Linked DNA regions of Saccharomyces cerevisiae S288C. Changing the gene in region 3 together with the main gene of any one other region gives a genetic interaction. Each region holds a gene or a part of one and is shown on either strand. Other genes may lie near its edges.

Region 1 (4,493 bases), on a different chromosome or scaffold from region 3:
CACGATCCTTTCTACTTCCAAACAAACATTAATGACGACGAAAGTGAAACATCTTCCCATTCTGACGACAGTGACATATCAGAAAAAGTTCTGAAAAATAACTCATCTCGTATGAGTTTGTATACTCTAGGATCCACTTCTGTTTTGAATCTTTTGAACAATAAAACAGATGCCAACGATAACTTCAGATCATCTATGTTTATTTCACCCACCGAAATTCTGCAATCTGATGCCAACAACTCTAATACATGGTCTCAAAGCAATGAGAGTGCTATATATGATTCCTTGTCCAGTACTCCAAGGGAACCTGGTGCTACCCAAATACTGGGAAAGTTTACAGACAGCACTAATCCATTCAATTATACATCATACAATTTAAGTCCCGACTCTGAAGACCGCTCTACTCCAAAATCAAATGTTAGTCAGGGTAAAGTAAAGAAGTACCGTCCTCCCAGTGTTCATCTGGATCAACTGCTCGACGGTAAGGAATAATTGCGTCCCCACCTTTCTACACCTCATTTACACTAAGTGCGACTCGAAAACCTAATACTTCAATTAATGAGAGGATACGTGTAAATTCCTCGCCATCACCATGCGCTGTTTTTAGTACACCATTCTTTTTTCGCATACAGATACAAGCACTAAACTGATCGTACTTTGCCAATGAATAAAATGGTGCATCTGCGTATCAACTTGTTGATTGCGACGGAAGACCAGGAAATTTTGCAGCAAAATATATTTGTTTGTATCCTCCGCCCCTACTGGAGCTTGTTAGAAAGCTTAAATACTATAAACATAACTATACAGAAAAATCTTGTTCTATAGTCTAAAAATTTAACCATGCATACGCTTATCCTGGATGGCATGATCTTTGTTATCTGAAATTATACGGAAGATATCACGGAGAGCCTTCTTTAGAAGAAGGTTTTAGCATTGCTAATCTTACTAAATGGTATGCTCTTTTGGCAAATGCGTTCATCACCAATTCAGTCACAGTTTTCGCAAATATTAGAGAGACACTGTTATATATCCGAGATTTGAATTTAAATCTTAATAGAAGTTCTACCATGGCCGCATTTGGTCTATTTGGGTGAGGCATTATGGTCCATTTCGAAATCAAAAGGTGAAACAAATTATGAGATATTGTTTCTGCAACAACGGTATACGTATGATCAGTATCTTTACAGGTAACATTGCATATAAATTCCTCATCGTATTGTTTGAAACCAACTCGAAGCCCCGCAATGAGAGGCTTGTTATCCACAGGATTTCGTTTATCTACAAACGAATCAACACAATAAGGAATAAATTCCTTATATTGGGCAACTTCTGACACTGCAGCGTAGACTGTGCTTGGAGGGGCGTTTATGGCCTTGCGCAAAACATATCGCTGTTCCCTAATAGTGTGATTGGTACCGCTCAAACCAAAAAAATTTCTTTTAAGAGGATATCTCCCAATTGGCTTGAGCATCGCTTTCCTGAATAATATCAATGTCTGTGAGGGCCTTATTATCAAAACCATTCTCCACGGTATCTTTAGCCGTTTATTGTTTGGCTCCTTATCCTATTATTCGTTTTAAATAGTTCAGGTTTTTCAGACAACTCGATCTTTAAATTTTTCTCTAACATGAGAAAAAGCATGCCATCCTATGTAACGGTTGAAACAGATCATAAGCTGGCTTCAACTAATCCAAATGTCTTTTGATATTAATTGGAGTACATTGGAATCTGACAATAGACTGAATGATCTTATAAGAAAACATTTAAATTCATATTTACAAAATACGCAACTACCAAGCTACGTAAGTAATCTTAGGGTACTAGATTTTGATCTGGGAAAAGTTGGTCCTGCTATAACACTGAAAGAAATAACAGATCCCCTAGATGAGTTTTATGATTCAATTAGAGAGGAGGCTGATCAAGAGACGGAGGAAAATAATGACAACAAGGAGGACAGCGAACATATTTGTCCTGATCGTACTATAGCTAATCATGAAGGACCTAAAGATGATTTTGAGGCGCCTGTGGTGATGCCATCCCCCAACGATATACAATTTTTACTAGAGGTCGAGTACAAGGGTGACTTACTCGTTACGATTGGTGCCGACCTTGTGCTGAATTATCCCGTAGAAAAATTTATGACTTTGCCAGTAAAACTTTCTATCAGTGATATCGGTCTCCATTCCCTTTGCATTGTTGCATGTTTATCAAAGCAACTATTTCTTAGCTTTCTGTGTGATGTTAGTGATCCTGCACTGGATGACAACCAAACTGTTTTAGATCCTAAGGGGCCAATTCTGGCAGCTACTAAGCCATTGGAGCGAATATCCATTGTGAGAAGTATGAAGATTGAAACCGAAATAGGGGAACAATATCAGGGACAGGGCTCAGTATTAAGAAGTGTTGGAGAACTAGAACAGTTTTTGTTTACGATATTCAAAGATTTTTTAAGAAAGGAGTTAGCATGGCCAAGTTGGATTAATCTGGATTTCAACGATGGTGATGAGTAATTTAACAAAGATAGTTTGAAAATAGTGTCTACATAAAAAAACAAACATTTTTGAGCTGGAAAATTATATTTTGTCATGAAGTAATCTATTCTTAACGCGCTTTTCGCATACGCTCTTTGATGATATTTTAGATGACCCAAAAGAGTTAAAGGAAATCATCAATGATCCTCCAGTAATCTTATACTCTAGACAGTTGTCCGTGAAGTTACACCTAAATAATCATATATATATATATAACTTATATACAGTGGTCTAATATCTATTGAATAATATTAGAACATGCTATGCAATCTTTTTGCTTGTGTTTGTGAAACCAATACCCTTGATAGTAGCTATCATGTCTTCATTATCCGCCTCGTCAACTGGTTTTAAAAAGACTTCAGTATTAAAGATCTTCTTAATATCTCTCAAGAGGATTATGAATCTTTCGTCTATCTGTTCCTTATTAATTCTCAATCTGCCGATATCTTCTTTCCCGATGACCATGTAAACAATTGCTAATGGAAGCTGGTTTCTACCAACTGCTGCACTCTTTGATATTTCTTCTAATAATTGACAGGCAACTTTTTCACCAAGTTCTTCAGGTATAGAACCTGCATCACCGATATCTTCTGCAAAATAACTCCAACCTTTCTGCTTGGACTGAGCAACCAAAGTAATACCCCAGCCTGGACTCTTCCCTGAATTTTCACCTCTCCAGACATCTGCCGTTATGTTAACTTCGCATTGCAGATTTTTCAATACCTTCTTAGCACCATCGATCATTCTATTCACAAGCGACGGACTTACTCTGGTAGAGTATGCTACACCGGTAATCGATGAAATTATGGGCCTATCTATTTCATGCATAGTTATAGGTTGCGCAATCAAAGAATCAACAACCAAATGCACTTCGCCACCTCCTAGTGGTGGTGAACCTCTTTTCAAAGTATGTAGGGCGCACTCTCTAACGCCAAATTTTTCCATAACGGGCATGAGTCCCCATTTGATAGCTTCAATACCGGCATCGTTGTGAGATGCAGTTATGCCTTTGAATAATATAGAAAATTTCTTTTTTGAAAATGGAGCCAAATATAGCATTGGTTCGACGAAATAACCTACCGGTTTGGAACTAGGGCAGATATGAGTTGATGCACCACCAACTATGATACCGGGCCTATAAATCACAGTAGTACCGGTATAAGAAATTTCAATTACACTCCCGTTGGTGACCGACTCGATCAGCCTTAGAAAAGACACTTCATAATCTTTCAGACCGGGATTTAAGTCGCCTGAACGGATTTTTTCAATTTTTATTGGTTTCCCTGATAATGTTGCCAAGACGATCCGTAACCTAAAATTTTGTGACCCTTGGAAAGTGGTGTATTTGGGGGCGGAAGATGACATTGCTATACTTTTGGAGGATTATCCTAGTGGAAAAGTGTTGACAATGGTGAAGCTTGACAGATGTTATACCCTTACAACATACGTAGCTTATGAAGGCTCATCTCATCGGCACTTTTTTGCAAATTTTTCTGAAATTTTTTCAATCTCGAGTCCGTGAAAAATTACATTACCAATATGGCGAGGGTAATTCTGACATCCTCCTTCAAAGTAAGTGCAAGTAATAAAAGCAACTTGACTACCCATTTAAAGTATTAATACGCTTTGCGCGGGGTTATAATTATAAAGTTATATCTTTTAAAGAAGAGGTCTGCTATATATAGACCTCCGATGTCATTAGTGAAGTTCCTTAAACATGGTCTTGCCCGAAAGGGATGATACTTCAATGCAAAGGGGAAATGCTCATTTTCTTTTTTTATTTTAGTTTTTTAGTGATTTTGCTAGTCTTTCAGCTTTATGTTTCGTTATTTTATAGTGTAGTTCTTTGATTTTTATTGCCTCATTTTGTATACCGTTATTACGCAAGAGATATTATACTGCTCCGGTAAACATCAATAAAGTAAGCATAATCATAGCAGAGAACTTTACACTTATGCCAGA
Region 2 (5,100 bases), on a different chromosome or scaffold from region 3:
AAAGATATTGGAATCATGTATCCTGACAGAACCTCTACAGGTACGCTAAAGACAGGACAGGTTGGCTATCTAGTGCTGGGAATGAAGGATTCTAAAGAAGCAAAAATTGGAGATACTATAATGCATTTAAGTAAAGTAAATGAAACGGAAGTACTTCCCGGATTTGAAGAACAAAAACCCATGGTATTTGTGGGTGCTTTCCCGGCTGATGGGATTGAATTCAAAGCCATGGATGATGATATGAGTAGACTTGTCCTCAACGATAGGTCAGTTACTTTGGAACGTGAGACCTCCAATGCTTTGGGTCAAGGTTGGAGATTGGGCTTTTTAGGATCTTTACATGCATCTGTTTTTCGTGAACGACTAGAAAAAGAGTATGGTTCGAAATTGATCATTACTCAACCCACAGTTCCTTATTTGGTGGAGTTTACCGATGGTAAGAAAAAGCTTATAACAAATCCGGATGAGTTTCCAGACGGAGCAACAAAGAGGGTGAACGTTGCTGCTTTCCATGAACCGTTTATAGAGGCAGTTATGACATTGCCCCAGGAATATTTAGGTAGTGTCATACGCTTATGCGATAGTAATAGAGGAGAACAAATTGATATAACATACCTAAACACCAATGGACAAGTGATGTTAAAATATTACCTTCCGCTATCGCATCTAGTTGATGACTTTTTTGGTAAATTAAAATCGGTGTCCAGAGGATTTGCCTCTTTAGATTATGAGGATGCTGGCTATAGAATTTCTGATGTTGTAAAACTGCAACTCTTGGTTAATGGAAATGCGATTGATGCCTTGTCAAGAGTACTTCATAAATCGGAAGTAGAGAGAGTGGGTAGAGAATGGGTGAAGAAGTTTAAAGAGTATGTTAAATCACAATTATATGAGGTCGTTATACAGGCCCGAGCTAATAACAAGATAATAGCTAGAGAAACAATTAAGGCAAGAAGAAAAGATGTTCTCCAAAAGCTGCATGCTTCTGATGTCTCACGAAGGAAAAAACTTTTGGCGAAACAGAAAGAGGGTAAAAAGCATATGAAAACTGTAGGTAATATTCAAATCAACCAAGAGGCATATCAGGCTTTTTTGCGCCGTTAGCATTGCATATTATTGTTATTACCATTTTAAAATTATACCAAGCTGTATATAGTTAAGTACTTTTCATTTGTAAATAAAAGAGAAAAATAGATTAATAAATATAATAATGGCATAATCATTATGCTTTAAGTATTTCCTCAAGTGTAACTACCCCTTTAAAATCTGGGTTTTCGATATTTTTCAGGACGGATTTGCTTACCTGCTGAGTGGATACTGTTGGCCTAATCAAGTCGTTCAAAAGCTGCAGCTTATTTCTCAATAGAAATTTGTTACCGCAGTAAAGTAGTTCAAGTGCAGTATGAATAAAAGACCGTGGTCCAATTGCATTTCTGTGCTCATCGAACATAAAACCGGGTCTCACAATAATAGGCCTGAAATATCTCTGCATTTTTTCTAGTTCAATCTCCGCCTCTCTTTTCGAATTAATATAGCCACTAGGAATCAATGGGAAACCTTTATCGGCGGAAATATACGTAAAAGATCTTTGATTTGCTTTTTCTTGCTCCTTTTTGCTTTTCTTTAGGATTTTTTGTTTAAATGTATCTGCCAAAATAATAGCACTTTGCTTATTCATCATTTCATAAGTAAAATAAGGACTGCTTTTTTTTAAAGGATTTGGACCTGCACCAAAAGATAGAAGGCGTGATTTTGAATCATATGTAGGGGATTTGGATAGAGTTTGCTTATAATTTTCATTTTCTAGGAGGATTCCCAAAGAATGAACTACGTTAGTAGCATTATTCAATAATTCATGGTAAGAATCAGGCTTAAAAATGTCAGCAGCGGTCCATTGGACCTCCTGCATCCATTGCTTATCATTTAATTCATTGCTATGAGGAGCTTTACCGGACCTTGACACAGAAACGACTTGGTAGCCCGAAGTCACTGCTTCTTGACAAATTCTTTTACCTAAAAATCCATTGCCTCCAAAAACTATAAGCTTTGGTATCATTTTCTACTTCAGTTCAAGCTTTAGCTGTATTTTTGTATACGATACATATTTCCCTTATTTTTTTATTTTTTCAATGTTTTCCTGTTTTTCTATTATGCAAAAGCGACAAGATGGCATTACGAGGAGACACTCAACTAAAAAAAAAAAATGAGTCAAATTGCCAGACTTTGTAGAGAAGTAAAAAGTTAATGCTAAGATGCTCTTTATGTATTAGTCTTTTAACATATTCAAGGATACGTAAATATTCTGATTATATACTAATAATTAATAATAAAAAAATTGTTTTGATCTACAAGATTTTTATTTATTTTCATGAGTAATGTACAAAAGACACATCATCACGCCTTATTTTTATCCAAATGCACATCAATTTGCTTGTAATTATCCCACGCAATACGATATATAAAACTTGGATTGAACCCACCGACGTTTGTAATGTAGATATCAATATTTTCAGGCGGAACATAATCGGTAATTTGATTAACTGTATCTAATCTTTTTCTTGGATCCATTCTAGGTAATATACGTTGGGACCCACCAAATTCGACAAACTTCTCTACGTCGAACGGATATAGAGGAGAAAGCTTATACAAACCTGCAACAGCAAATACAGGGGTTCTAAATTCTCGGGCGCATTCACAAACGGATGATACACCTGAATTTGACGAGATAGTCCCCCCATTGACAAAAACGGCTTTAGTGCCGATAATAACCTTACCCACACGGGACATTAAAGCAAAAACAGCTGAGTCTGGGACTACTAGGGTTTCTATGTTGTGCTGTGCTAATTTTTTGGCAAACTCATGTGCATTCTTGGTGTTATTAGGGAACCCCTCTGTAACTAAAACCGTAAATGTTCTATTACTACGTTCGCGAGCAGTAATCAGAAATTTTAATACGGTTTTTGAATCAGGTGTGGGAGTTAATAAAATCTCATGATCGTGAATCAAATCAATAGCAATTTGCTGAATACCTTCATCAATGTTTTTTATCTCATCTATAAGATCCTTGATACCCTGAATGGCTACTTGACGGTAATCAGTCTTGGTTTTCATACTAGAGCTCCCTGAACTATTTTTTCTATTCTGATGAGGTTGCTCCGGTTTCTGTAATAAATTAAACATAGAGGAAATCAAAGGTTCAGCAACGGATGTGGATGTGACAGTTGTGCTCATAGTGTCTTCTTCTACTTCATCCCTCAAAACAGCCAGTATTCTTCTAATTACGTTACCGCAACTGAAAGCAGTAGGATGAGCTTTTTCTAGACTATTACCTAAATCTCTGATTTGTTCAATAAGGTCATTAACATGGTTCCAACGAGCTGCAGAGATAAATCGCATTAACAGTTGTAAAGTTTCCAAGGCGATGGCGTATGAACCTTGCACTTGTCTTCTTTTTAACTTAGCAACGAAAGTGTCAATGGTAACATTCACATCAGATGTTGCCGCATTCGGATGTACTGAAGTGAATGCTTGAGAGGACATCTTATGTTGGGCAAAAGTTCGAAAGTTGGCGTGTTGTGTTTACTGGTTCCGCACGAGTAATGAATGGTCTGTTTCATTTATGAAGGTTTTTTCTATGTCCATTTTTTTTTTTCAGCATCACGAAGAAAAAAAGCTTGCGGTTGGGAAGCAGAGGTATCATATACTCAAGCTGTATAGTTCAAAGCCTTTCATAAAGGCTATTCCTTAGTATATATGATAATGGGCTTGCTATGTGTTTTTGAATCTATCTAAAATTTCTTGCTATGTAGTCGTGTGTAGCATAGAGACATATCAAGAAAAGGCTAAAATATCTTCGGTTATGCACCTTATTCACCGTTATATTCGGCCAGATTTCTTGCAGTTTCTATTAAAAGGGCTCTAAGTTTCATATCCTCTGGGGCTAAAGCTAAACCTCTCTCGCATGTTGCCCTAGCCTCTTCCCACTGTCTCAATTTTAGCAAACAGTCCGCCTTCCTGACAAATACGTCTGGTTGGATAAGTCCCGTACCAAGTAAGAAATCCAAGTCTTGCAACGCCTCTAAATGCTTTCCGAGTATTAAACATAAATCTATTTTACTACGAAGCATAAAGTGTAGCTCTGGTAGCTGAATAGCAAAAGCTTCCCAAGGCGCTCTTTTTCTTTGTGCCATTTCGATTGCTAAAGAAACATTCTTCAATGCCTCATTCAATTTTTTTTGTTGTAAATTCTTCATACCACTTTCAAATAAACCCTTGATCATTTTGCTTAGAGCTTCATTCGGTTGTGGTGTAAAATTTGGGTTGGTTTCTCCAATCAAAGATGTAGTGAGAACATTTATTTGATCGATATTAGTTTCGGTAGATAGTGCAACAACAGCATCACTCGCAGTGATCAGTTTACTGTTTGCATTGTATTCAAGGGTAACCATGGTTGAATAAGCTTGCTTTGGTATGCCTTTAACGCAAGTTGAAGGAGACGTTTCTTTGATTTTAAGGCTATTGGTTTTATGTTCAAAGATATAATCTAATTGTTACGTGTGCTCCTACATCCGTTTGAAACGATCCATAAACGATCTAAAAAATATAATATTAGACAAGCCAAATACGTTTAAATATACTTAAATCACAGCATATTCACATTCAACTATTTGTTATATATTTAAATCTGTTTTATAAAAGACAGGAGTACCAGTTAGTTTGTGTTTTCTTGTTGCAATTATAAAATCTTCAAAATCATGTGGATTTTTATTGAATTTCTATATCGAGATGAATGTAAATATGTATACAGTTTAGGGTAGGGAAAAAAGAAAGCTTGTTCTCGTTTGTCCCTTATAAATCAGCATCATCTTCATCAGGCAATGGCAAAGCAGTAGCTTGTTCCATTTCTTGTTGGTATTGTTGCATCAATTGTTCATCGACTTGGACTTCTGGTGGGGCTAAAGCTGGAGAAGCAACAAATTCTAATTGTGGGTTACCAGCCAATTTTCTGGCCAACCATAAGAAAGGCTTTTCAAAGTTGTAGTTGGACTTGGCAGAAATATCGTAGTATTGCAAGTTTTTCTTTCTGTGGAAAGTGATAGT
Region 3 (5,750 bases):
AATTAAATCTTGGAAATTCCACGGAATAAGATTGCAATCGAAGGGTTGCAGGTTCAATTCCTGTCCGTTTCATTTTTTATACTGCAAGTGATAATTTAAGGATGGTTAAATGAAGGAAACGGTGTACTAAATGTGCAGGGGCGTCTCTGCTGTCGCGTTTACCGATTGCTTTTTATTGTACCTTTTCTATTCTTTTTTTTTTCGGTTCAATTCTTGTAAGTCCACTGACGGACAAGAAATGTTGACAGCGGTAATAATGTCTTGATATTGCTAAGCGGACCTATGTTATTATGTTCAGCAGCATTTATGTAGAACTTTAGCTGATCTAATGATCGCTAATGTTATTCTTGTATGAAATGCCTAGACAATTAGTATAAAATTTGTGTGAGGTTACGTATGCTAATTGCAATGCAAAGCGATATTATCATATTTTATGTTAATTATTCTAATCTCATACGTATATTCTATCCTATCTCGTAATGGTTACTAGCCAAATTCGCCCGTATGAATATGTTCTTTTTATATCAGTTCATATTCCTTTTGATTTAAATGATACTTCTTTTTTTGCAGCCTGAATAGGTGCAACAGTTGCCATCCATTACATTAGTGTTTTGATGAGCACGAAACAATGTCATAGGCTTATCTGCCCCCTAGGCACAACGTTAATTTAACATTTATGACTGAATGGAAACCTGAGGAAGCTATATCGATTGGATAACGGGATCATTATATCCTGAGATAAATGCACTAATGTCGAAGTTCAAAATTTTCTGTAAGAAACTGCTGTAGTTAACAAACTAAACTATATTTCTGACCCGAAGGTATTGTCTTAAAGCTGGCGTGTTTCATAAAGTAAATATTGGTAAAGAAGTTGCCTGCATACAGAGTATTTTCAAAGATACATATTCAATTTAGAACAAGAAATGCAGATTATATTCATCTCTCATGAATGATGTACAATTGTATTGTAACAAGGCTGGGACTTTACAGAGAAAAATAATTCTATAATTAGGAAGCGACCCAATTCAAAGACTAAAAAGTAATTTGAAATGGGGTAAAATGGAATAGAGAGGTTCTGTGGAATGTCATATTATGTAATGTTGTAAAGTTAATGGTGTATATTTTGAGAAGCTATTGGCAGAAGGATTAGCGTTGCTAAGAAAATGTTGGATCACTATCGCAGAGGGTTTAAAGAGAATGATTGGAAAAAAATATCTAATTCACTGAAGCAGAATGGGAACTACTATTTAAAAACATGACGTATATACTAGTAATCTTTCAGTCGATCTGGTTGGAAGTACTATAGCAGAACGAGGTACAAAAGAGTGCACATTTATCTTTCTGTTTTATCTTTTTTTTTTGTTCTTCGAGATTGTCTAACAAAACAAAATAAAAGTATACGGACTAAAAGTAAATAAAAAAATATCTTTCATAATATAAAGATATGCATATATACAAATAGCGGGGAAGTATTTTAAACTTTATAGGCAAAAATCTCTTTAAAAAGCTTTGCACAATGAACAGACGCACCCATTCTTGCACACAAAAGAAAAATGCCACTAAATTTTCTATGTAACGAGTATGTTTCCTCTGGTGGCGGACATAGTCTTTCATTCAACATTAACCCGATATTACCTCTAATCCTGTCTGAGACTGTTTGATCCTTGAAATCGAAAGATTTATCTACATCACCCCTAAAAGGTTCACCAAGTGTAAGTACACTATCGACGTGCGCGTCTTTCATGGACTGCGATTCTAAGCCTGTGAGATAGCCCAGTTGTACAGACATTTCGTACGCCCCTTTCCTATCTCTCAATGTGGCGTAAGTTAAAAGTTTTCTATATTTTAGAATAAAATCTTCTGCAAAAGGTCTGGAGGCACCGAAATCCAATAATTCAATTTTCTTTGTCCTACCGTTATAGAGGAAATTTGCCCAATTAGGATCCGTTTGCATATACTTGAAAGTGGCAATTTCTTCCAGACATAGTCTCATGATATTCTCCGAAATAAAATTTTTGGTTTCTTGTGATGCCTTGGGCAATTTCATTATTTCAGTTCCCTCCATACGTGTCATAGTTATAATATTATCGGTTGTATATTCAGGAAACACATGAGGAACCTCAAACGCTGGGTCATCCTTTAGCAACGCCTCAAACTTTTGTAGAGCTCTAGCCTCTCTGTTGTAATCACATTCCCATTTTAACTCAGTTCTAGCGTTGGCAATTGTCTTATCCAAAAATAATCCCTTCGGTAATAAACTTGAGGCTGTAAGTAACATTAGTAAACTATTCAAATCCGAATCAATGGATTCTTTAACCCCAGGATATTGAATTTTGACAACCACTCTTTGACCACTGGGCAACTCTGCCGCATGTACCTGTCCGATACTAGCAGCTGCCATAGGTATCTTGTCAAATTTGGAAAACTTTGTCTTCCAATTAGCACCTAATTCCTTGGCCATAACCTTTTCCAATTGCCTTTGAGGCATATGATTTGCACTATTCTGTACCCTTGATAAAATTTCGTATAATTCCTTTGGCAACACTTTCTCATCCTGAAAAGACAATAGTTGCCCTATTTTAAGGGCAACACCTCTCATTTTAGAAAATTTATTGGTAATTCTGTCAATATTCGAATCTGATAGAATCAAAGATTTCCAAGTGGGAGAATTGCCCTTTGCAACTTCCGATATGCCTTTTGCTGCGGCATTCATGCCCACCCCTGCTGCCAGTGAGCCATAATGGAACAATCTCGATATTCGTGAAGTTGGTACACTGGAACTTTTTAATGTATCCTTTTTTTCCTCCTCATGCTTCCTTTCTACGTTTTCTTCACCTTCTTTGGCAGATTTTGTAGTATATTTCTTACTCAACGATATTGAAGAAACAGAAGAAATTCTCCCGTTCTGTATAGTTCTTAAGAGACGGGATGAACAATACAATCTCCTTAAATTCCTCAATTTCACCATATTTGTAACCATATCGAACGATATCTTAGCCGAACAGGTCCCAATAAGGATGCCAAGGAAGCGTACTGAGTACAGTACCAGAAAGATCTTAACTAATTAAGATCATCTAAAAAAGTACTGGGTACTATTACAGATCTAAAGCTTTACAAATGAATATTACCCGGATCATAGTTTGCTGACTGATAGTATATAGTTATGGACAAATTTCATCATTTTCCAAACTAAGGTCGTTTAGTTTTACGCTCTGTATTCGTTTGCTGTTTCAACTGACAGTATCATTTCGGAGTCCCATAAATCTACCAGATTGCTTTTTATTGATCTAGCGATCTTATACACAAGTCCTTTTTTATTTCTTTTTCTTTTTTTTCGGTGCCTCTGAAAAATTTTCAAATGCGAGATGAGGTGAAAAGAAACTTATTCAATTGTAATATTTAACACGTTTACGGGGATGCGATTGAGTAACGATAGTATAACCTTATAAACGCGCATAGAAAGATTAGGACTGCAAGAATAATAATGGGTTCCAAAAGAAGATTCTCGTCCGAACACCCGGATCCAGTTGAGACCTCTATTCCTGAGCAGGCCGCCGAGATTGCGGAAGAATTATCCAAACAGCATCCTCTTCCATCCGAAGAGCCACTTGTCCATCATGATGCTGGTGAATTCAAGGGCTTGCAACGTCACCATACTTCAGCAGAAGAGGCCCAAAAACTTGAAGATGGAAAAATAAATCCATTTACCGGTAGGGAGTTTACACCAAAATATGTTGATATCCTGAAAATTAGAAGAGAATTGCCAGTACATGCCCAGAGAGATGAGTTTTTAAAACTTTATCAAAATAACCAGATTATGGTTTTTGTTGGTGAAACAGGTTCCGGTAAAACGACACAAATTCCTCAATTCGTTTTATTCGATGAGATGCCACACTTAGAGAACACTCAAGTTGCATGTACTCAACCTCGTCGTGTCGCAGCAATGTCTGTTGCACAGAGAGTTGCTGAGGAAATGGATGTCAAGTTGGGCGAAGAAGTTGGTTATTCTATCAGATTCGAAAATAAAACTTCTAATAAAACGATATTGAAGTATATGACTGATGGTATGTTGTTGAGAGAGGCAATGGAAGACCATGACTTGTCGCGTTATTCATGTATCATTCTGGATGAAGCGCACGAACGTACACTAGCTACTGATATTTTGATGGGTCTTTTGAAGCAAGTAGTCAAGAGGAGACCTGATTTGAAGATAATTATTATGTCTGCTACTCTGGATGCAGAGAAGTTCCAACGCTACTTCAACGATGCTCCATTACTTGCCGTTCCGGGCAGAACATATCCAGTTGAGCTATACTATACACCGGAATTTCAAAGGGACTATTTAGATTCTGCCATTCGTACTGTTTTGCAAATTCATGCCACTGAAGAGGCTGGCGATATTTTGTTATTTTTAACTGGTGAAGATGAAATTGAAGACGCTGTCAGAAAGATTTCCTTAGAAGGTGATCAATTGGTTAGAGAAGAGGGATGCGGACCTTTATCCGTATACCCACTGTATGGTTCATTACCACCGCATCAACAACAAAGAATATTCGAGCCTGCTCCAGAGTCACATAATGGTAGACCAGGCAGGAAAGTTGTTATCTCCACGAACATCGCTGAAACTTCTTTAACAATTGATGGTATTGTCTACGTCGTTGACCCAGGATTTTCAAAGCAAAAAGTTTACAATCCAAGAATTAGAGTTGAGTCTTTACTTGTTTCCCCTATCTCCAAGGCTTCTGCCCAACAAAGAGCTGGTCGTGCTGGTCGTACAAGGCCTGGTAAATGTTTCAGATTATACACTGAAGAGGCATTCCAAAAGGAACTGATAGAGCAAAGTTACCCAGAAATTTTACGTTCCAATTTATCCTCCACCGTTCTAGAACTAAAAAAATTAGGTATTGATGACTTGGTCCATTTCGATTTTATGGATCCACCGGCTCCGGAAACAATGATGAGAGCCCTTGAAGAACTAAATTATTTGGCATGTCTGGACGACGAAGGTAACTTAACACCCCTAGGTAGATTGGCATCCCAGTTTCCCTTGGATCCTATGCTAGCGGTGATGTTAATTGGGTCCTTTGAGTTCCAATGTTCTCAAGAAATACTAACTATAGTGGCCATGCTATCGGTTCCAAACGTGTTTATTCGCCCAACAAAGGACAAGAAGCGAGCAGATGATGCCAAGAATATCTTTGCTCATCCAGACGGTGATCATATCACCTTACTAAATGTATATCATGCGTTCAAATCGGATGAAGCTTATGAATATGGTATCCATAAGTGGTGCCGTGACCACTATCTAAATTACAGGTCCCTTTCCGCTGCTGATAATATCCGCTCCCAATTAGAAAGATTAATGAACCGTTACAACCTAGAATTAAACACTACAGACTATGAAAGCCCTAAATACTTTGACAACATCAGAAAGGCTCTTGCGTCTGGGTTTTTCATGCAAGTAGCAAAAAAAAGATCGGGAGCTAAAGGATACATCACAGTTAAAGATAACCAAGATGTTCTGATCCATCCTAGTACGGTTCTTGGCCACGACGCAGAATGGGTCATTTACAATGAATTTGTGCTCACATCGAAGAACTACATAAGAACTGTGACCTCGGTCAGGCCCGAATGGCTGATTGAAATAGCGCCTGCATACTACGACTTAAGCAATTTCCAAAAAGGTGATGTCAAATTATCTTTGGAAAGGATCAAGGAAAAAGTTGATAGATTAAACGAGTTGAAACAAG
Region 4 (5,107 bases), on a different chromosome or scaffold from region 3:
GAAAAAACGATATCATTGTATCAGTACCGAGCTCGAAGCAACTAAATTTTCACACTATCCTCTATCATATTTCAAAGTTTAATAAAGAGCTGAATATTCCTGGTATCACAATCGATAGAAAGCCAATCAATTATGAGGACAATATTATTGAAGCGGAAAATAAAGCCTGGGCCGATCCTAGATATGGATTATATTCCGAATTATCGAAAGAGTTTTTGTTAAGTTTATCATCATTTCAATTGGTATCATTTTATATATTGGTTGAAAATTTTCTATTGCCAAAATGGACTCACAATGAAATCTACTCAGATTGGAAACCATTCTTTGATGTATGGCCCTCAATGGAGGAGCTGCGATCAATCCCAGCCATTTGGAACTGTGATCCCAATTCACGTTACCATTCACTGATTGAATATCTCCCTGCTGCCTCACGAAAGCATATGGCAAGAATTAGTGGCCTTGTCAGAGAAGATTGGGAAACCATTTCAGAGGTGGTTTTGAAATGGAATGAAATTTACGGCTCCTTAAGCTGTACGAAAAATTCTGATAAATTTACTAGTGATGAGTTATTCTCCCTTTTTGTACATGTTTATTTTATTATAAACTCAAGATGTCTTTATGCGAAGATTCCGTTGAAAATAGAGGACTCCCCAAGCAATTTCACTTTAGTGCCGTATGTCGATTTCATGAACCACATTTGTGAGTCGGATTTGCACTGCTATCCTCAGTTAAGTCCTCAGTTGAGGTCAGAAGGAGAAAACATCATTGGAATTGGACAATTTACCATTAGATGCGGCGATCACCTCTATGACAACATTAACGAGGAGCTCTTTTTGAATTATGGTGCACACTCAAATGATTTTTTACTGAACGAGTATGGATTTGTGGTAGACGGAAACAAATGGAACTACTTAGACATATCTGACGAAATTATTGAACTAATAGACGACGACAAAAAGGAGGTAAAAACGTTTCTATTGGAACATGATTATTGGGGAGATTACACTATCAATGAGACTGATATCAGTTATAGGATATTCGTAGCATTGAACTATTATGTGACGAGGGATGAAAGGAGGGTTCGAAAATTCATTGAAGGTTACATATCAGAAGATTACTTCAAGCCAAAAATCTCTTCAGTTTTAAAAGAATTATTGGTCTCCTTAACTGCAAAATATACAAAGACGCTTAGCGAGTTGACAGAAAAAGTATCTAATCTTGAGAATAACCTCTGCTTACAAAACTTAATTACCATATACAAAGGGTATATAAAAATACTTACACAACACTTACAAGACCTGCAATCATAGGTATTTGTAAAGTCCAAGAAATAACTTTAAATTCGGAAGTGCCAGTGCCCATGCTTCTCTTCGCAAGTACATGTGCGCAGCAGCCATTCATATATGAAAATTTAGGAATATCTATTGTATATACATGAAATTTCTTCACAGGTAATGATAATCTAGTGCTTTTTGCTTAGTAATAAACTGTTTCCCTTTTATTAAAGTCAGAAGTATATCATTCCACTTGCAGTTACATTTTTTGTACTTACCAAGAGAAACAAAAAATCCGTTAAGTTCATTAATGTTCGTTTGATTCAATTGATTTAAAGATTGGGCCAACTTAGCGCGCTTGTGCCCATTAACTTCTAGATCTCTCATCACCAAGCTAAATATTCTCTCCTTGTCAAAGATTACAGAATAGTTTGGGTTGGTGTTTAGTGACGGGTAGGATCGATCGATAATTGACAGCTGCTCACTAATCAACTTTTTTATTATATCTTGTGCTCCGGGGATTTTCAAAAGTTCCTTTTTATATACGCAATCATATACTGCCAATAATGGCTCGGTACAACTCTCCAATATCAATTTCTCCAGTTCAGTGAAGAACAAATCCTGGAAACCATGAACATGCAGATCAAAACTAACTAGATCGGAACCTATTCCAGATCGTAGCCTGGAAATTTCTCTAAACAACTTATAAAACGCATTATTTTCTTTTTCATTTTTCTGCCTGTCACCTCTTAGAGAAAGACTCGCACTTTTACCAGTACTACTCATTCGAGGAAAACCATCAATCTTTGCAATATGAAATTGTATCCTTCCTTTCACTTTGAGAGACAGTTGAAATTCTTGATGTATGGTCCCAACGTCAACTGGTGTTGTAAAGCCCATGAACAAGTTTGGTCTTGCCTCATCAAAGCGCCATCGATATCTATGCAAATGTTCCAATAGATTTAAGCTTGGATTCAAAAACAGAATGTTGGTTTCGGGTCTCAAAGATTTATTGTATTTAGAAAGTTGGGCAGTGATAAATTTCGAAGAGGGATCTGAGACAATTAAATTTTCAATTGGTGCAATTTCACCATTGCTTAGAATGGGCGGGACACAAGATGCCATAAACTGTCTATGATAAGTTTCTTTATTGTTGTTACTCGATTTAACAATAATTTTAGAGTCATTATTGAGGAATCTATTCAGTTTCTTCTGGTCGTTTAAAAGAAGAACAACTGATGGAACCTTTGGTTGACTCGGGAGTTGTGCAATTCTCAATGCTAGTAAGTACGTCATGGCTGAGTTCCCTAGAGAGTAAACTCTAGGTATTGAGCTTGACATTATCGTATTCTGGATTTTTTTAATCCTTTGCGTGGTTGTAATTGAAATATGCTTTAGATGAATTAGGCAGACCCAAATATATGCAAAGGTTTTTTCTATTTTTTTTTTTTTAAATTTTTGTTCTTACCCTTGTTTTACCTAGAATGGGGATGGGGAGAATACATGGCACAATAATAACGGTCCAAATTAAAAGCTCAGTGAAAGTTGTCAGATAGCCACAATTAAAATATGCTGGTAGTGGGATTGACAGGTGGGATCGCTTGTGGTAAGAGCACAGTGTCGAGAAGACTCAGAGACAAATACAAACTACCCATTGTTGATGCGGACAAGATTGCTAGACAAGTGGTCGAACCAGGACAGAATGCTTATGATCAAATTGTGTTATACTTCAAGGACAAAATACCGAATTTATTATTGGAGGATGGGCATTTAAATCGTGAAGCCCTAGGGAAATGGGTTTTTAGTCATAAAGAAGATTTGCAAGCCTTGAATGGGATAACACATCCTGCAATCAGGTATGCAATGTTCAAAGAAATTGGCTACTATTACTTGAAGGGATATAGAATGTGTGTATTGGATGTGCCACTCTTATTTGAAGGAAATCTGGATTCAATATGCGGAGTGACTGTAAGCGTAATTTGTACGCAAGAATTGCAACTAGAAAGATTAATGACAAGAAATCCTGAACTTAGTGAAGAAGATGCAAAAAACAGGCTAAATAGTCAAATGAGCACTGAAGAAAGGATGGCAAGATCTGACTATATCCTACAAAATAACAGCACATTGGTTGACTTATACGAACAGATTGAAAGTGTTGTAAAAAAAATCCAACCTAGTAAATTAAGAACTGTTTTGGAGTATTTCCCACCTTTTGGGGCCGTAAGTGCCAGTAGCATCGTCATGTCCAGATTACTGATGAAAAAACTTCAAAATAAAAAGTCTTCAGCGGTATAAGGTTGATATCTTATAATTACATTATATAAAATGAGTATATATACTACATGTTTATGTATCAGCATGTCATAGCTTAGTGTACTGGTCTTGGAGGATATTTATTTCTTTTTACTATGGGGACATGCTTGTATGGCAAACCACCTCTGTCCTTCCTTAGTAATAAACTATTTTTACCGAAAGCCTTTGCTATAGTCGGGGTTGAGTTCGTATTTCCATTTAAGTCGAATTCTATGGGTTCTCTTGGCGGCCTTTTATTCAAGTCCGGGTTGAAATGATTGAAATTTTTTCTATAGATCAACGGGGTCCTTGTTTCACAATGTATTGGGCCACCTTTAGTCTCGGATATATCCATATAGTCATCACTGTTTGTGTTCTTCAGAAACATCAAATCAAGAGGTTTTAATTTGATTGACATATCCTCGAACAATATAATTTCCTTCGGTTCCCCCTCCTTGAATGGTTTCAGAATTTTTTTCAATTGAGTAGGAGAAACTTGTAGCCCTTGGTTCGGTAGATCGTCACCGTAAACTTTTATTAGTTGGGAATCATCCAAAAATTTGATGCTACTTATGCGTGCTTTTTTCGGTTTACCATTTCTCAAAATCGATTGTACATTAGAGTCTTGCACGGATATTTTGGTTTTTTTTTTTAAGGGCTCTTCTGAAGAAGCAGGAGTCGCTACCGTTGTGGTTGACGATCCTGACGTTGACGAAGATATGATATTAGAAGCCACCGTGGATGCTTCGGGGTTGACTTTGAAATCCACATCTATTGACCGTTTAGTCCCAAGCTTGGTCATATCTGCGTCATCCTTGTTCAGATATTTAGAAAATGATAGTTTTTTCTTGGAAGAAGTAGGTAGAGATTCTGTAGACTTAGCTTCATTTTTATTGAATAAACCCGACTTCAATTTCTTCATTGAAGAGGTAGATGCAGTAGGCGATGGAGAAGAATTTTTGTCATCGTTATTGAGCAAAGGAGAAGGTTTTAATTTAGTTTTCATCTTGACTTTTGATTTATCCTTCTCCTTCTCCTTTTCTTTTTCTGAATCCTTTATCTTTGCTTTCGAACTAGCCAATTTCTTTTTGAGGTTGGCCTTTGTACCAGTACTATTCGAACCCTTTTGGAAACCCAATGTATCTAATAATTTCATATAGGATCGTACATTTTCAGCAACGGAAGTATCCAAGACGCATAAATTGATGACTGCATCTACCAGACCATCCATTTTAGATAATCGATTATGGCTATTTTTATTCAGGATTAAATTGTCAATGTAATTTTTCCTTTCCTCGGGAGAAAACTTAGGCAATTGGTTAACGAAGAAGTCCAGGGAGACATCATTAGCGATGGGCGGTGTAGAGTGGTGTTGTTTCTCATGCTTTAGTTTAATTAGCTGGTTCAAATAATCTAGATACATTGATTTTAAGCCAGAATACAGCTGTATATCTGCTTCAGTCACGTTCTTTTCCTTCCGTTCTATGTGCAAGTTATCTTTGGTAAACTGATTCAAAGCCGCTTGCAAAGAATCGATATAC

The links.
Region 1: of COQ8 (region 3) and COQ10, extra expression of one rescues a mutant of the other (dosage rescue), as found in Saccharomyces cerevisiae (4 studies listed by BioGRID, with this or other methods).
Region 2: of COQ8 (region 3) and COQ11, changing one suppresses a phenotype caused by changing the other (phenotypic suppression), as found in Saccharomyces cerevisiae (one study listed by BioGRID).
Region 4: of COQ8 (region 3) and CBS2, extra expression of one rescues a mutant of the other (dosage rescue), as found in Saccharomyces cerevisiae (one study listed by BioGRID).

The regions. Positions count from the first base shown.
Region 1 is NC_001147.6:307,341-311,833, reverse strand, and holds COQ10 (ubiquinone-binding protein COQ10), read right to left. Parts: upstream 1,523-4,493; coding exon 899-1,522; downstream 1-898. Other genes in the region: CSI2 (Csi2p), read left to right, coding at 1-492; ERMES complex subunit MDM12, read left to right, coding at 1,695-2,510; RCL1 (rRNA-processing endoribonuclease), read right to left, coding at 2,793-3,896; PLB3 (lysophospholipase), read right to left, coding at 4,425-4,493. UniProt on the Saccharomyces cerevisiae protein: Required for the function of coenzyme Q in the respiratory chain. May serve as a chaperone or may be involved in the transport of Q6 from its site of synthesis to the catalytic sites of the respiratory complexes.
Region 2 is NC_001144.5:715,923-721,022, forward strand, and holds COQ11 (ubiquinone biosynthesis protein COQ11), read right to left. Parts: upstream 2,057-5,100; coding exon 1,223-2,056; downstream 1-1,222. Other genes in the region: GTPase GUF1, read left to right, coding at 1-1,104; GCD7 (translation initiation factor eIF2B subunit beta), read right to left, coding at 2,395-3,540; Sec63 complex subunit SEC72, read right to left, coding at 3,867-4,448; Ran GTPase GSP1, read right to left, coding at 4,849-5,100. UniProt on the Saccharomyces cerevisiae protein: Component of MIOREX complexes, large expressome-like assemblies of ribosomes with factors involved in all the steps of post-transcriptional gene expression. Component of a multi-subunit COQ enzyme complex required for coenzyme Q biosynthesis.
Region 3 is NC_001139.9:281,672-287,421, reverse strand, and holds COQ8 (protein kinase COQ8), read right to left. Parts: upstream 2,981-5,750; coding exon 1,475-2,980; downstream 1-1,474. Other genes in the region: DEAH-box ATP-dependent RNA helicase PRP43, read left to right, coding at 3,485-5,750. UniProt on the Saccharomyces cerevisiae protein: Atypical kinase involved in the biosynthesis of coenzyme Q, also named ubiquinone, an essential lipid-soluble electron transporter for aerobic cellular respiration.
Region 4 is NC_001136.10:848,736-853,842, reverse strand, and holds CBS2 (Cbs2p), read right to left. Parts: upstream 2,616-5,107; coding exon 1,446-2,615; downstream 1-1,445. Other genes in the region: RKM2 (protein-lysine N-methyltransferase), read left to right, coding at 1-1,310; CAB5 (putative dephospho-CoA kinase), read left to right, coding at 2,844-3,569; RNA-processing protein REF2, read right to left, coding at 3,643-5,107. UniProt on the Saccharomyces cerevisiae protein: Translational activator of cytochrome b. The cytochrome b (coB) leader RNA may represent the target sequence for CBS1 and/ or CBS2.